Linked DNA regions of Arabidopsis thaliana. The protein of the gene in region 2 interacts with the protein of the main gene of each other region in a biochemical or structural test. Each region holds a gene or a part of one and is shown on either strand. Other genes may lie near its edges. The genes, in order: FIP1 and nPAP.

Region 1 (7,725 bases), on a different chromosome or scaffold from region 2:
AGCTTAAGTGTTTCGGTTTCAGACAGAACAGGGGTTTTCTGTCCGATGTAGAGTAAGTCTGATCTACAGATTTTGTGTTTTGGGAAGTCTTTTGTTAGCTCTGAGACTACTACGGGACGATCGTAGACTTGTAAAGAACCGTCGGATCTGACGAGCTTGATTCGTCCGCCGTTGCTGGTTCGGTCTGGTCGAGGATGAAGACAAAGCCAACTTGAAGGACCTTTGTGTAGCTTTACGAGTAGACTCCCGAGCTTTGTGATGTTATCATGACCCATTTAGTATAAGCTGGATTTGGGGGTTTCTTTAATCTTCTCTGCTAGAAGAAGAAGGTCATGAAGAAATTGGTGTGTGGAGGAGAGAGAGAGATAGAGTTTTGGAGTTTCAGTGTGAACAAATGAAATGAAGTTTTGGTTTGTATATATATACACTGAGAGTATTTTACATACAAAAGAATTTATCTCCCTTTAAAAATGTGTTTGTTTTCAATTTTCATATTCAAATATATGAGTTCTCCTTCATTTCATTTTATTTGGTAAACAAATAGGGGCCCAAACAAATAATTTTTGGCTTTCAAGAAAAATTCAATTTTTTACATCTTTTTCACTTTATCTTTTTGGCTAATTTCAATTTACTTTAAAATAAATTTTTACTAATAAGTATACTCATCTATTAATATACAGATTTTTTTTATTCCATTCGTTTAGTAATGTTTTGTATTTTTCTTTTTTTTCATGCATACATATTATTTATATTTTTATGCACACCTTATATGTATATGTTTCAACTATGTTATCGGACATCCATGCTTTAAAAGTTGGATATATGGACTAGGTTTGGTCCAAGTATGTTAACTGTGATTAAGAAGCGATTAAAATAATAATATATGAATAAAGAATTTGACTATGTTTAACGTGCGTGACGGCATTAGGTTATACAAATATATAAAATGAAAGAAGACTTAGACCGGTGGAATTAAAAGGAAGTATCGAGTGTTCTTTTTAGACATTTCAATCTTGGTTTTAAGGTATTTCAACTTTAATGAAAACTCTAGAATAATCATTTCACCTTTTTCTTCTCTTTTAACCAGTGATTGACCCAATCCCTACTTAGTTGAGCAATCATGATCATCCTGAGATTATGATATAAGTATTATTCTTTTTTTTGTTGTTGTTACACTAATCTTGGAGATATTTAATTATCACTATGAACATAAAAATCCAATCCTGATGTTAACACGAGTTTTAATTAGAATTAATATTTTTCAACGAAACATATGAACATGACAACATCCTATTATTAGATTAGATGCGGAACATATTTTTCAAGTTGCAAAGCCTAAGAGAAGTAGCCACCTCTCAAATTTGGTCATAGAAAGATGTAGGTTTGACTCATCAAATAGTGTACGTAATTATGTTGCCTTACTTTGACTCGCTTCTTCATTACTTTATTTTGGTTTTGAATTGCCACTCCCGCCTTACTTTCTTTTCCTTTTCGCCATCTTTTTTTTTTTTCGATTTTGCATGATTGCCTTATTTTTCTTTTACTTACAAACTTTTGTAAAATACTAATGGTAAATTAATCTGGAAACCGGAGATCGGTTTTATGTAGCTTATGGATTGTGGGGAGGTAAAACGTCTGAAGAGAACTCATGCTCACGAGAAGTAGCTTCTTCTGTGCGTTTACGGCTTTGGTTTTGTGTGTGAAACTTCGCATTATCTTTGTTTTGTGTAGCACAAACACATTTAACACCCGATATGCCATCTTATTAAAGTAATCGAGAAATCGGTTTTATGAAGCTTTTTCATATATAGGGTGGTTTCGGTTTGATATCAAGACTCCCGTAGTCGCAAACACACTCTTACAAAGATGGTTCAGAGCTATCAGTTTTTGCTGTTGTTGTTTTCAACGGATGTATATGGTTCAACTATATTTACATTTTTTTTTAAAAGATCCAACTATATTAACATTTCATGACACAATCACTCGATAACCATTGAATATATAGATATTGTAAGACTGACCATGTTCAGTTAACACAAGAAGAGTCCAAATGCTAAATCTTCAAATTTGATGGGCACTAGTCATAGTTTATATGCTAACAACTTTAATAAGAAATTCAAAGGACGTAGCTCGTTGGTGAGCAAAGAATAAGACGACAAGGAGCAATAGGCTTAATGACAGACAATTCGCTAACTTCTAAAGTTGGTCACTTCGTAAGAATGATACAATGAAGCTTAATATTTTAATATATCATATTAGATATTTTTGGTTTTGGTTTTAATCATTTAGATATTTGCATATAACGAATGCAAGTAAAAAACAATTTAGGCGATTGCACAAACCCCACCATTTAGATTTGTTTCCACATATATACTCAATGTTACTATCTTCCAAAACTCATACCAGATTTGTTTTAAACACATTAAACATAGGATCTTCTATGATGAAAGTGTTGTAATGAGCCCGTGTCACCAATTCTCCCATGCATGCTTATTATCGATTTGGGCTCTTTTCAAAGGCCCATCGGTGATATATTGGGCTTTCTAAATGCTGGTTTTGTCTATAGCGCCCAACTTGATCACCTTTAAAATCCTAAACTCATCAAAAACCAAAGACCGAATCCAACTTAGAACACGAATACAAATCATGAATGTTAGATCTAAAGGACAAGGTTCCCTCAAAAAAAATAAGAAATAATTTTATACAAAAGGAAATGAACAAAAGCAATGTTTATGAGTAAACGCCAAGAGGACAAAATGTAGAACACATTGAAATGGTATCAAATACTAAAACACACTGTTCCATATATTAATGCACAATATCACTAAGAGCTGCCATTTATACCAGTGGACCTTCACGGACCATGTGACTGCACCGCTTCTTGAAGGCTCTTCACAGCGCTTTCATAAGTCACAAACCCCATAAACCAGAACTCGTGGTTGTCGATGGAAATCACTTGTATGTATTTATCAGATGTGTTCACTCTACTTGTTGATGGGTTCACTGCCTTCAGCTGATTCGCCGGAAGTACCACCTGATCATCACATCAAAATCATCAGCCACAGACTTTACAAGGAAGAATGACAGAAAATAGACTGCAAGTGCAAGGTTCTCAAGGAACGAAAAAAGGTTCTCAAGAACCACCCAAATCTTAAAATCAGTTTTCCAAAGATCATGTTGTCAAGAAGCTTTCTGCTTGGTTTAATAGGATTTCAGCTCATGTTAGATGTTTACATTAGAACCAGTCCAAACTCTCAAACTAACAATTATTCAATGGCTCCCCTAGTTTTATCAAGAATGCTACAAGATTTAGCTTACTCTCTTAGGCAAACCACTAAAGTCCTAATTGTCTACATAGGAACTAACATGCAACTACTCAACAATATCGTTAGAATGATTATGTAGTTTCCATTTACTATAAGCGTACACACACTACGTTCTATACGTCAATAACTAGAAATGACAAGAAAATTTGTTATAGTCTATGAATCTATGTAAATAGATGCATTGAAAATGACTTAACTCACTTAACGCTTTATCATGTCACCATCAAATATTACATTCGCTGAATCTTTGTTCTCAAATAGTTTTCTTAGATGTAAATAGATATAAAATAAAAGAGTTAGAAAGAAAAAGTAACCATAGGATAGAGAGCGAGTATACCTTGTAATAGCTCCACAGGGTCTGCTCACCCTCTTTGTAAGAGAGAGGATTGTCACTAGAGAACGCAAGCTTGTGAGTCGAAAGATACATAACTCCCAGGACAGGACCAGCAGATGTAGACAAGTAGCAAGCATAGGTCTTGAGAAGTTTTTCATCAGGAAGGCAATCAAATGTTTGCTTGAAGACCTTCTCGTATCCACCCTCTGCAAGTATTTTTGTCCCCTGAGCAATTCGTGAAACAGCAGCATCTGCTACACTTGGGCCTGTTTTCACTGAAAAAGAAAGGATAGATATCAAAACGTATACTCTCAAGTCTCAATTCATATAAAATATCATCCCTCCCTCCAACCATATGTATATAATACTAATTCATCACACAAGCGGAGAAATAAAGCCAAAACAACCTATACTAGAGAAGCTTCAAGAGTCAAAGGCAATAACCAGATACAAAGAACTAATTGGCTTAAACTCAAACGGAAGAGCATGAATATCAAAATTGTTGGCTAGATTTAGTGTCGGTGGTTGAACGCGAAGTAAAATTCCGAAGAAGCGCCAATTGATGAACACTAACTTAACCAGAAGGGGCATAACCAATACCATCGTATTCTCCAAGAGACGGTAATCAGATTAATTGGTAATTCATCTAATCGAGGGGGAAGAAGAAGAAGAAGAAGAAGCGCTTACAGTGCTGCCAAAAATTTCCGGCGAGATCCTCCGCCTTCTTGGTGGCGTCGGCAGCCATTTTCCCCCATTTCCCTAACGTATCCTTCACCGAATCCATCGTATCTGTCCCCAAACCAAGATCAATCAATCAATCAAAGGCAGAAATTGGATTAGGATGCGAAATCGGATAGAGAGAAGAAGAACTCACTCCTTGGGGCAGGGGAAGGAGAAACGTAAGGATTGGATTCCGCTGGCATGGTGGTTGCGGCGGCACCGGTGGGAATAGGCTGAGGAGGAGGAGGAGTGACGTCGGTAGGATCGAGCTTAGGGTAAGGAGCGTAGTCAGAGGAGTGAGCAGCAGCCTTGGAAGGCTCCGACGCGGCGGCGGGCGTAGAAGAGATCCGGCCATGATCATGATTCTCTTGCCCACTCATGATTTGATGTTTTCTTCTTCTTCTTTCGAAATGAACTTTTTATTTTTTTGGTTTGGGTTAAGTAATGAAATAAGAGATGGTTCGAATCTCGCAGGCAACAAATAATAATTGAATTAAAATGTCTGTCCGCGTTACGTTGGCATTATTAATCGTAAATAATTTAAGTAGCCTCTTTCCCAAAGTCGGTCTAACATATATATCTCGTGCGGTCTTAAACAGTAGACGAAACTTAATGCAATTAGTTTCTGTAACGGATACTAGTATTCAATTATACCTTTCCTCTAGAACATATCCATAATCCATGTATGTACACCGGTTTTGTGCCCGTTTATCTTCCTCAAGAAATTCAGACCTTCTTCACTTACGATTTTTGTTTTAACTAAAAAATATCTTATTCTAACTTTTTGATTGCTTGGTTTATGTTTTTTAGTTTGGAGTCCAGACCATAATCCGTCCGTGTGTATTTGGACTGTAAAAACCCACATGCGGTCCACCCAATTGACAGTTCTAATCATAATAACAACAACAAAACAAGTTAGATTGTAACCGCTATTGATATACCACAAAAAATTGCTATTTTTTCCGATGAAGGTTAAGAGTGTCTTTATCATTTCGGACATTCGACGATAAAATTTTGTTGTGTTGAAAACATAGTTACCATATCAAAAAACTAGTTTTCATCCAAAAAGAAAAGTTGATTCACATTCTTCTTGATGGTATTTAAACGAATGACATTTTTTTGAAGTTTCATATAGCTCAAACACTCAACGGTTTAAATGAAGCTTCTTATATAAACCTCAAAATCAGATTGAACCTAAATGATCTTGGGAACTCAAGTCCGTATCCATAAAGCTTACTTTTTATAATCCAAGCAGCATCTAAGTTACATTTATCAAACCTTTTTCCAAATTTTCTAAGACTATATGTGTACAAGGATTTTATTCACAAAATTAACGGTGTTGAAGAAATTCTACAACATCTTTTTCCAAATCACTTTCAACTTTTAATTCAAACAGTTAACTTGTAAATAGTCTAACTCACTATTTTCTTTACCGCTACAAAATAACGACCGCCAATTTTTTACCATTTTGTTTTTACCGTTTCACTAAATTAATTAACTACGGAGAATGAGAGAATACGTGTTTAACCCATTTCGAGTCTTCTGAACCAGAGAGAGACTCTGGACGTAGTGGCGAGAAAGCAAAAGATTTAGCGAACGTCTCTTCTCTCGTCTCTCGTCAGCATATGCGTAAGAGCATCTCCATTGGTGAGATACTCCATGAGTACCTCATAATATATTATTAATATTTTAATTTAAGTAGAGAAACTTATACTAAAATTGTGCTTCCATTGGTGAAATACTCTTATGAGTATCTCATTAACATTAACATATTATTATATGTTTTTTATATTAAATTTAAAATCTCTACAATATTTTCAAACATATCAATTATTATTTTTACAATTATATTATTAAATAGTTTTATTATTTTTAAAACCATAATTAAACATAATTAAACATAATTAAACATTACTTTACATATAAAATCATAATAAAAAATATATCAATTAAACATAAAATTCCATATAAAACCATGATAACATAAATTAAATAGAAAAAATATATAAATTACACAGAAATTACATATAAAACCATGATAACATAAATCAAAACTAACTATATTATCTATTATGGTTTTACTCTTCATTTGATAATGCACCAAACTTTTGTCATATATGCTCAACTAGGTCATCTTTTAGTTGTTGGTGCATATCTCTATCACGAAGTCGAATTCGATTGCCAAAAATGTTGTAAAATAAAAATAGAAAATTTTAAATGTTTGTTTTCTAATTAAAAAAAAACTATTGTATTTATAAGTTATTATTATGTTTAATGCTTAACTAACACCAATTAAATAATATTCGTATATAATTTAAACATATATATAATAGAGCTTGTTATATAGATAATTTAATTTTATGAATTTTAAAAGTAAAAAAAAAAAAAAAAATAAACATATAAAGTATTTAATTGATGTTATAAAATATAAATGATTTTATTTATAACAAAGAAAAGAAATTAATGACAAGATGACATTTGGAAGAGAGATAAAATTTCTCCAAGTTTCTCATTTCAGAAAATATTCTAAAAAAAACTGATTAAAAAATTATTATTTTAATATTTTTGATTTATGTTTGTTTGGAATTTATCATGGAAATGGTCTAAGGGTTTAACTCTCAAAATCAAAAACCTCTCCGTTTTTTCCTCTCTGTTTAGCTTTGAATTCACAAGAGTCATGCGAAGATTCAACTGGGTTTGTTTTCTTCATCCCTCTCTAGATTTAGCTTCATCGTTTTCTTCTTCTTCCTTTCAATTTTGAAATTGAGTCCTCGAGAGAGCTGAAATCATTTTGTAATTTATGTTTATATCGTAGGTTCTGCGGCATGTACAAGCTCGAAGAACTTTTGATTCCGCGATCGGATTGCGTCAAGGTAATGTATAAAAGTTGTTAAACTAGGGTTATTGATTTCGTCAATTTTTGCTTGTTTCAAAAAGGAATCAAAAACTGACATTCATATGCTCTTCGAGGTTTATCGCCTTCTCTGAGCTGATTTAGGTGTATATGCAACAGACCAACGACAATGTCAAGTTTTTTGGGGTTTATTAGAATTTCTAATGTAGTGATAATTTTAGCTGAAATGGGGTTTTAGGGTTTATCAGGAAGGGGTATCAAAGTATTGGGCACTATTAAAGGTAACTCAAGAGTTGATTTTAAAGAATCGAAATGTAATCTCGAGGTCTCCGTGGTAGCTAACATTAGGGGCATGAGGGAATTTCCAGTTGATGTTTGTGTTTATCTACAGACTATAGGAAATATGCATTCATTACTTGGAAGTTTTGACTCTTTGCAGGGTCTCAGAAGCCGTTGTTCGAGCGATACATTCACGCTACAGGTCTTGTTTT
Region 2 (9,488 bases):
TGCAACTTTAAGTCCACGGCGCCTAATTTCCTGCAGCATCAGTCAAAAAAAATTTGCTTCACAAGATTAAAGTGCTTGTGACGTTTGCACACACAGAAATATCACGGTTTTACCCAGTCCATAAATTAAGAAAACTATTTTATGTCTTCAAGCAAATAAACGTTCATTTTCATAAGAGCAGAATGTCTTCACAGGAATTTAATTAGACAGTTCTCTTCAAAATATGTTTTAGATAGGTATATCCAACAATAATACACAACATTTCACTAACCTTATATATTGCATTTGCTCCCTTTTGGGTTCCATCACCTCCAATAATGTAAACCTATATCACAGATGCAGCAGACAAAGCAACTGACTCTTATTGGTATAACTATTCTCCATAGAACACAAACAAACTGAAACAACAAAACAAAATTTTTCTTGAATACCTGATTTATTTCACGATCTTGTATGTTGTCGACAATCTTTGATGTATCATGTCCCCCTCGGGAGGTTCCTAGTATGGTTCCCCCGCGCTTGTGGATGTCACTCACAGTCTTCGGCGTTAGTGCAACAGTGTTTTTAGAATAGAACCCGCGAAACCCGCACTGCGATATCAGAAACCAGATGAGTCAAAACAAATCCTACTCAATCAATAATGGCTAACATAGTATTTGCTTTCCATTGTAATTTGCTATTAAAACTGACATTGCTCTATTATGCTCTACTACAATATGCAATAGCAGCTATAGAACAAAGCATTCAGTCTACAAGTTGGGATACAATGAGATCATCATCCCTAGAAAATACAGTCTAAAAGCATAAATCGTAGGTACAAAAATTGAACTCACATCCACACCAATCACTTCTGTAACACCATACATAAAATGAAGACCACACACGATCTCCCTGATAACTGTATTAAGCCCGGGGCATAGGCCACCACAAGTGACAATACAGGCACGCACATCAGATGGCTTGAAGTACACCTAAACACAATATATAATCATATATCAGCAGTTTTTACATCATCAAATACAGAAGCTGCAGAGCAAAGGAAACTCATGGAGTAGATGAAGTACCTTTTGGCGCGGGCCTGCACGTCTAAAATGTGTCCCTCTAGGAGAATCCTTGTGAACAACAATCTATACATCACACGAAAGGGAAAATGAGCAATGTGCTAAACATATCACATGATCACTTACGAAGAGAACAAATGTAAGAAAGGAAAGCGTCAGTGAGTTTCACCTTTTCCTGGACTGTATCATCCTCATCAACAAAATACTGCCTGAAAATCACACAGAATATGAACCCTATTAACTAACCGTCATCTTTCAATCAATCAAGTTCATAAGTACAACATCAACTTACCTTACTACTGAATAAGCAGCATTTGATTGCAACGGGTTTGGATAAGTCTGTTAGAGAAGGTATCAGCAAAAGTGAATAAAGTATAAAATGAAACGAAGCTATAGCATGATTTGAAATATGAACCAAAAAGCTTTTTTTTTTCTCCATGGCAAGACTAATTTACAATCCAATTCTTCCATTACTCTACATGTATAAGAACCTCATTACATTAGCATCAAATTTAGAAAATAGTAAGTGATTAATAGATCTAATCAAACATTCGGTGACGAGTAAGCATATGTGCACCAATCAATTTCCACGTTGACATTGATTTAACATTTCACATTTGTATGCACTAATACGAATATAAATATTTATGTAATTCTCTCCCTGATAGAGACCAGGATCTCATCAACAGTCCGAATCAACATATAGGCTAAAAATAGGCGAAACCAATTATACAAACACAACTTTTGCATTTGCTATACACGAACCACCAAATCGGCAACAATATCAAATTCGTAAATCGTATAACCACCGATCCATGAAAATGTCGATTTCAAAGAATAATCGATGGAATCGTATAGAGATAGAGAGAGGAAGTAGTACGGGGAGATCGAGAATGTAATCGCTCAAATGAGGAACATCTTCGAGTACATAACCAGCAGGTCCTTCCACCAACTTAATCTGCTCGTCCACGCCATTAGAAGCCATCGAAGAAAACCTTATTCTTCTGAGTGTTTTTCTCTCCGGTGACGTAAAGCGACTGTGAATTTGAAGCGTATGTATGTATGTGAGTTTTAATTCTCAGAGCTCAGAGTGGTATAGAAGTAAGGAACGAGAAAGCGACGTCGTTTTGGCTCACCGTTACTTTATGATATACGGACATTACCGAAATACCAGCGTAAACGGCGGCTGGTTTTTCCTTTTGTCAATTTCCGGTTTTCAGATAATTGATTCGTGGATAAATGCAGAAGTATGGATAAAATCTCATTAATTATCTTTATTATACCTTTAAAGAAAATGACAAAAATTAAACGATAAGAATATCTTAATATTTACGAAATATATTCTTAGTAATTTCTCTATTTGGTGTCAAAAATATATAGGCAATTTTTCTATTCTTTAATTTCTTAAGATTTTTTTTTTTTAAAATCATTTTTTCTTAGTATATGGTATTGTTCATGACAAAGAGAGAAATATCATATCCTGTTGAGAAATAGCATTTATAAAAACTGATTTGTTTTGTAAAAATAATAATGTCAAGCTAATGTATAGATCGAATAGTTATTTTAGCTTAAAAATCAAATTTCTGAGAGGAGAAAATTTATCTTACAAATCTTTATAACGCTTAAGTATAAAAAAAAGATCTTAATACACAATTGTCCGAAAAAATCATTTTTAAACTATCAAATTATCGGTTTAAACTTTTTATTTGATTAACAAATCAATCTAAACTTTACAAATCTTCATGAATCAATTTAGGATTTAAATATCAAACAAGTGGATTCTAAAATAATAAAGTTTCCTCTCCAATTAGGAGTATAATGAATTACATATTTGGAAAGAAAAGATTCGAGTATTAATAAATTTTAGATGAATTTGATAAGTTTTAGACAGTTAGGAAAGTTGTTACTATTTGTTATTAAAAATATTTGCAATCTCCCTCACTAAAAAAAAATAATATTTGCAATCTCACAAAACCATGAGAATTGGGTCTTTGTAATTTTTAATCAAGGAAATCCATTATTACATCACTAATTGAAATTCATGTTTGTATATACAGCCTAAACTTTTGTATATACAGCCTAAACTTTTGTATCTTTTATTTAAAAACACTTTAATATGTTAAAATCCAATATAGTATCAAAATTATATCAAAATCTAATAAACAACACACCAGTTTTCAACTTTATCAATTAAAATTAACAGATGGTGATTTTAAATCAGTTGGTTTCCATCGACACATGATTTCTAGTTACCAATAATCCCACTAACCCCATTAAAATCTTTAAATTAAAAATCTGAACAAAATTATCTAATTTAGATTTGTTTTCAAAATGATTACAATGTTTTCTTGTTTTGAACGGAGACTTATCGGCTCCCTCCGTAAAATAATCATACACATTAATCCACTAATCAAAATTTAATTATAAAATCGAATCGCCGTGTACCTAATATCTTCCCCAACCTTTGCTCTCTCTCTCTCTCCATCTCCCTCATACCTCCTTCTTCTTCTTGATCCATCATCTCTCTCTCTTTCTCTCTTCTCTCTGTTCCTAGTCCATCGATTTAACCTCTTTCAGATTCTCCTTCTTCTTTGACTTTTTTTGACACCGTAGTCTCTTTCCCCTTCCATCGATTTAGGGTTTCCGATTTTCAAAATCTCCTTTTTATTTGTTTCCTCTCCTTGTGCAATTCCCGTCTCGAATCCATCTTGACCTGGGGGTCTGATCCGATCTCCCTCTAATCATATCGTGAAGCGAGATTATGTTTTTGTGCTGCGCTTCTGCTTTGATCGCTTAGGATTATCAATCGTGTTATGATGGTGGGTACTCAAAATTTAGGTGGTTCGTTGCCGCCGCTGAATTCTCCTAAAAGCTATGGAATTACGAAGCCGCTCTCTCTTGCTGGGCCTTCTTCGGCGGATATTAAGCGTAATGTGGAGCTGGAGAAGGTAAAGCTTTGTTTTTTTGTTTATACAAAAATTGTTCCACTGTTTAAAGGATTCGTTGATTTGGCTTATCTGATGTGTATTTTCTTATATGCTCAAGTACTTGGTTGATGAGGGACTCTACGAGAGCAAGGATGATACCATGCGGCGAGAGGAAGTTCTAGGACGCATCGATCAGGTGACTCAGCGTGTCTCGTTGATTGTTTGTTCTGTATATTTACAAGTGTTATCTTTTGATGGTTGTGCTAATTGGGTGTCTGAATCGACAAGAATAAAATTATTGTGTTTATAATGGTCTTTTAGGTTTCATTGTATTGGTTCTTACTCGTGTATGGTTGTTGATTTTGGGCTAAGCATAGATCATAGTTCAATATGAAATAGACTGGTCAGGCATATGTTCTTATGTCCATTGATTTACTTTGCTGTTTTTAAGTTTCTTCACATGCTGTTCATTGTGCTATTTGTCTGAAACTATCAATCTTATCTCCCACCTTTTTTTTTTAGATTGTAAAGCACTGGGTGAAACAGTTAACGCAGCAAAGAGGATATACTGATCAGATGGTGGAAGATGCAAATGCTGTCATTTTCACCTTTGGATCCTACCGACTTGGCGTAAGTGCTACTTGTTTACCGCTTCCTTGCTTTTATCTTGAAGCTAAAATGCGTATAATATGTTTTTTGCTATATGTTTGTGGATTACTCGAGAGATCGCTCTGTTTTTGTCTATGCAAATGCAATCTTAGTCTCTGAGGCTGAACCGACTTCAATTTTGTTCACTTTGCAGGTGCATGGTCCTGGGGCTGACATTGATACTTTGTGTGTTGGGCCATCTTATGTTAACCGGGAGGTGACTCTTGCTACCACTTATTGATGCAGAAGTTTGATTCTTTAGTTCTTAACACTTACTCTTTACAGGAGGATTTCTTCATCATCTTGCATGATATATTGGCTGAGATGGAAGAAGTGACTGAGCTCCATCCTGTTCCCGATGCCCATGTTCCGGTCATGAAATTTAAGTTTCAAGGAATACCGATTGATCTGCTCTATGCTAGCATATCACTTTTAGTTGTGCCACAGGTAATTTTCTGTGAATTTATTGTATCTTTCTTTGTTTTTGCTGAAGCTGTAGGGTCTGATAAATTTATATTAGCTTGTATATATTATGCTATATGTTGTGCTTGTTTGCATGTTGATGGAGACAGATAGTGTATTACTCATCCTCAATGGCTTATATAGTAAACAAATTTATTTTAGTAGTTTCTGGCTTGAGAGAGAGATCTGAAAAGTTTGCTGGCTATTTTGGTGCATCGGTTTTGATTTTTATATGAAAACTGAGCCCGTGAGCTGTCATGGTAGATTACAATCTCTTGCTGAATCAAATTTCTTGTTTTCATGGATTTGGTTTATCGACAGGATCTGGATATCTCCAGCTCTTCTGTGCTGTGTGAAGTTGATGAGCCAACCGTTCGAAGTCTTAATGGTTGTAGAGTTGCTGATCAGATTCTTAAACTCGTTCCAAATTTTGAGGTAAACTCACAGAATGCCAGTCATTATGTTAACATATGAATGAACTATGGTTACCTTCTCTTATCTTATGTGCAATTGTAGCACTTCCGGACAACCTTAAGATGCCTGAAGTACTGGGCTAAGAAGCGTGGGGTGTATTCAAATGTAAGATCATAGCTTTCTGAAATTCGTATTTATTGAAAACTTTCATGTCTAAGCTCTTGTCATATTTCTCATATTGGGCAGGTGACTGGATTTCTTGGCGGTGTAAACTGGGCACTTTTGGTTGCTCGTGTCTGCCAGCTTTATCCAAATGCAATTCCTAGTATGCTGGTTTCTCGTTTTTTTAGAGTATATACTCAATGGCGGTGGCCGAACCCAGTCATGCTTTGTGCAATAGAAGAGGATGAGCTTGGATTTCCTGTCTGGGACCGTCGTAAGAATCATCGCGACCGCTATCACCTTATGCCAATAATAACTCCAGCTTACCCATGCATGAATTCTAGTTACAATGTCTCTCAAAGCACTCTTCGCGTTATGACAGAGCAGTTCCAGTTTGGTAACAATATCTTGCAGGTAAGTGAGCAAAACTTTTGACTTGTTATCTCAACTATTTATTCAGGATCCTATACTTATGCATGATTTTTAATGCAGGAGATTGAATTAAATAAACAGCACTGGAGCTCTTTATTTGAACAATATATGTTTTTCGAGGCATACAAAAACTACCTTCAGGTTGATATAGTGGCAGCAGATGCAGAAGATTTATTGGCTTGGAAGGGTTGGGTGGAGTCGCGGTTCAGACAGCTGACCTTAAAGGTTGATAGCCTCCTCTTTTCATTTGATTTACAGTAATAAACCTGCTGTATATCAGTGTTTAATCATATTTGTTGTGGTAGAAAATATAAAATTATTAAATGTTTCTCGATTTTGTTTCTTTTCATTCAATAATGCAGATAGAAAGAGACACTAATGGGATGTTAATGTGCCATCCCCAACCAAATGAGTATGTAGACACGGCTAGGCAGTTTCTGCATTGTGCCTTTTTCATGGGCTTGCAGAGGGCAGAGGGAGTTGGGGGTCAAGAATGTCAACAGTTTGATATACGTGGTACTGTCGATGAGTTCAGACAAGAAGTAAACATGTATATGTTTTGGAAACCTGGGATGGATGTTTTCGTTTCTCATGTTCGTAGACGACAGCTTCCACCTTTTGTTTTCCCTAATGGATATCGAAGGCCTCGGCAGTCCAGGCACCAAAATCTACCGGGTGGAAAATCTGGTGAAGATGGCAGTGTTTCTCATTCCGGCTCTGTGGTGGAGAGGCATGCCAAGCGAAAGAACGATAGTGAAATGATGGATGTGAGGCCAGAGAAACCTGAGAAGCGTGCATCTCTTAGTCCACAGAGTCTAGATATAGTTTCTCCTGAAAATAGTGCTATCACAACTGGTTGGACTCCTCCTGTTTGCAACCTTAGAAGGCCACCAAGCGAGGAAATAGAAGCTGATAATTTGAACACTGAGTGTACTGAACTCACAGACTTAGCTCGAAATGAGTGTAACTCTGGCAGCGAGCAAGTTCTTGAAGTAGATAGTATGGCTGTAGTTCAAGAATGCTCTGATCCTGCTGAGCCTTTGGGAAAGTGTGTAACACCTGACTCTGTTGATGTGGTAGCATGTGTAAGTGGGCAGGAAGAAAACTTAGATCGTAATTTGAGGTCTGTATCCATCAGTGGTACTGACTCCCCACTTCTTCCGAGCAGATCCTGTGGGCAGAACCGTGATTATGAGGTTAGTTTTTTTTTTCTTTTTGTATATGTTTGGGGGTTCTGGTGTGTTATCAGAAATTGGCAATAATTGTTTGAACATACCGGGCATAGTAATGATGAGTTTTTACAGGGTTTCGGGTTTCCTGCTGCAAATTCAGATCCTATGGGAAAGAAAAACTTGTACTCTCAAAGCGGCATGTCGGAAGACCTTCAGGTTATTAAGCTACCTCACAGTAGTTATCATAAGATTAGTTCTGTTGAAAATATTTAATAGCTGGTTTAAAAATGAATGTCCAATGATATGCGAGCATCAATTCTCCACACTACATGGAATCTCATACTGGTTTCATAGTGTCAAGAAACATAGGATGGAGCTAAGTTTGAAATTTGATGGTTGTCCATAAACAGTACTACTTAAGAGGTCAATGTTTCTGCTGTGTTATAACTTGCCTTGTGTGATTTCTGCTGCATACCGCCTAACTAGTGCATATATATGATTGGCAGGTCCTGCACTGCAAAGCAACTCCGCTTGAAACTTATTGAATTAGACTTTTCTCTCTTTGATTAAGTTTTGTAAGGAATAAAACTAACTTATGTTGTTGCTCGTAATCTTGTCTTGTCTTAGTCAAACTCTTTGGTGAGCGGGATGGAGAAGTCGGAAGACAGAGCTAGGTCAGAATCTTTCCAGAAGTCACAGATAAGGCATGTGTGTTATGCAAAGTCATGATTTCTTTATGTTATTCTTGTTGTGTATTTGGTTTCATTGGTGCTTTTATAGCACAAGCAGGTTAAGCTTAAAGTCCACTGTGTGAACGTCCTCTAGGCTATTGACGTGAAGAAAACGGGGGATTTCAACTCAAATTGTTGCGTTGGACAGACGACAGAGTCCAGAAGCTTTTGGTAAGTGAATTTTTAATATGGAAAAAAGAAAAAAGAAAAAAAAAAGTTAAAAAATGACATTTGAAAAATTCAAAAAAAAAAAAAAGAATTAAGTTAAAAAAAAAAAGGTAACCAAAAGAGAAAAGAAGGTATAGGCAGAGAAAGCATTGGTGGTGGTATTTTGAGTGAGCTTGGATGATGACCAAAGCTCAATATGCGTCATCAGGATCATAACTTGAAGATTGAAATGATTTATATAATGTCTGGATGATGAATGCTTTTTTTTTTTTATTATTCGGCTGTTTCAGACTCTGGTCCTCTTAGGGCTTTGACTTGAATCGTTTGTGTTTTTTTAATTTTATTTTGCGGTTTATGTATATAAGATCTATGCCTCCTTGTCTCTCGTTTTTGGAGTTATGCTGTCAAAACTAAGTGAGAGTAGTTGCAATGAAAGGCTTTAAAATAAAGGTTTCTGATCTATATCAAAGTCAAAACACTGTTTCTTTTTTTCTTATGATGTAATATGATGGAAAATCTATAGAGGAATTGGAATAATTGGTGGTTGAACCGGGAAAGACAGATTCTCAAATTTAAATGTGTCGGATCTGCTAGTTCCAAATACAAGTTCAAAGCGTCACTTAAAATATAGAGGACCATGAATAAGTACAAGAGCTCTGTATTTGAAAACATGAATGGTTGGAATTCCTACCGAGACCAAACACTTTTTGTGGAGATATGTCTTGTTTGGTTGAATTATCTTTAATACAGCATGCCAAAGGTTTGAAGAGTAAGATGAAACAGTAGCCCTTTCAATGTTTTCAATATATATTGACTGAGTCGAAAATATGGGATTTTAACTTCTCGGGGCCAACAGATAAGAAATTTCTCGGTAGTGACCGATAGCACTACTAATATCTACCTTTTTAAGCATGGAAACCTTTTCAACTATCAAGAAAAAAACAACTTTAAAATTTTGATAGCCTAGTGGTTTGTATGTATGAAATAGTGATATTTGATAGCCTGATGGTTTGTATTAATATCGTCATTCTGTCACCTCCGGCGTTGAAACTAGTATAATGCATGTCCACAAAAGAAAAATAGAACTGAGCTGAGGCAAAAAAGAAAGAAAAAAAAAAATAGAATTTTAGGAAAGCGTCATTCTGAGCAAAACAACTAAATGAAAATCTAATTTTTTCGTTGGATTTTCCCAACATTTAGGACTGCAAATACTCTTTACACAGACGTAAGGTAAGTAACTAAGAAACAAAAAAAATTCTAAACTCATTCTTAAATAATCGCATTAGCGTCTCTATTTTGTTTGATCTAGAT

Evidence for each region.
Region 1: the proteins of nPAP (region 2) and FIP1 form a complex in vitro, tested with the Arabidopsis thaliana proteins (one study listed by BioGRID).

What each region holds. Positions count from the first base shown.
Region 1 is NC_003070.9:9,847,541-9,855,265, forward strand, and holds FIP1 (FH interacting protein 1), read right to left. Parts: upstream 4,910-7,725; 5' UTR 4,761-4,909; coding exon 4,535-4,760; intron 4,450-4,534; coding exon 4,348-4,449; intron 3,936-4,347; coding exon 3,664-3,935; intron 3,035-3,663; coding exon 2,855-3,034; 3' UTR 2,845-2,854; exon of another isoform or gene 2,593-2,844; 3' UTR 2,304-2,592; downstream 1-2,303. Other genes in the region: AT1G28190 (uncharacterized protein), read right to left, coding at 1-275; ATJ1 (DNAJ heat shock family protein), read left to right, coding at 7,058-7,075, 7,196-7,253, 7,674-7,715.
Region 2 is NC_003075.7:15,846,260-15,855,747, forward strand, and holds nPAP (nuclear poly(a) polymerase), read left to right. Parts: upstream 1-3,512; 5' UTR 3,513-3,874; coding exon 3,875-4,009; intron 4,010-4,106; coding exon 4,107-4,184; intron 4,185-4,510; coding exon 4,511-4,618; intron 4,619-4,790; coding exon 4,791-4,853; intron 4,854-4,921; coding exon 4,922-5,083; intron 5,084-5,419; coding exon 5,420-5,533; intron 5,534-5,614; coding exon 5,615-5,677; intron 5,678-5,758; coding exon 5,759-6,088; intron 6,089-6,166; coding exon 6,167-6,331; intron 6,332-6,468; coding exon 6,469-7,302; intron 7,303-7,410; coding exon 7,411-7,494; coding exon of another isoform or gene 7,495-7,551; exon of another isoform or gene 7,552-7,632; coding exon of another isoform or gene 7,633-7,647; exon of another isoform or gene 7,648-7,905; coding exon 7,906-7,986; coding exon of another isoform or gene 7,987-8,007; exon of another isoform or gene 8,008-8,058; coding exon of another isoform or gene 8,059-8,092; exon of another isoform or gene 8,093-8,103; coding exon 8,104-8,184; 3' UTR 8,185-8,201; downstream 8,202-9,488. Other genes in the region: PFK6 (phosphofructokinase 6), read right to left, coding at 1-30, 272-325, 432-590, 834-971, 1,065-1,127, 1,231-1,270, 1,354-1,400, 1,942-2,046. UniProt on the Arabidopsis thaliana protein: Essential protein. Polymerase that creates the 3'-poly(A) tail of mRNA's. Also required for the endoribonucleolytic cleavage reaction at some polyadenylation sites.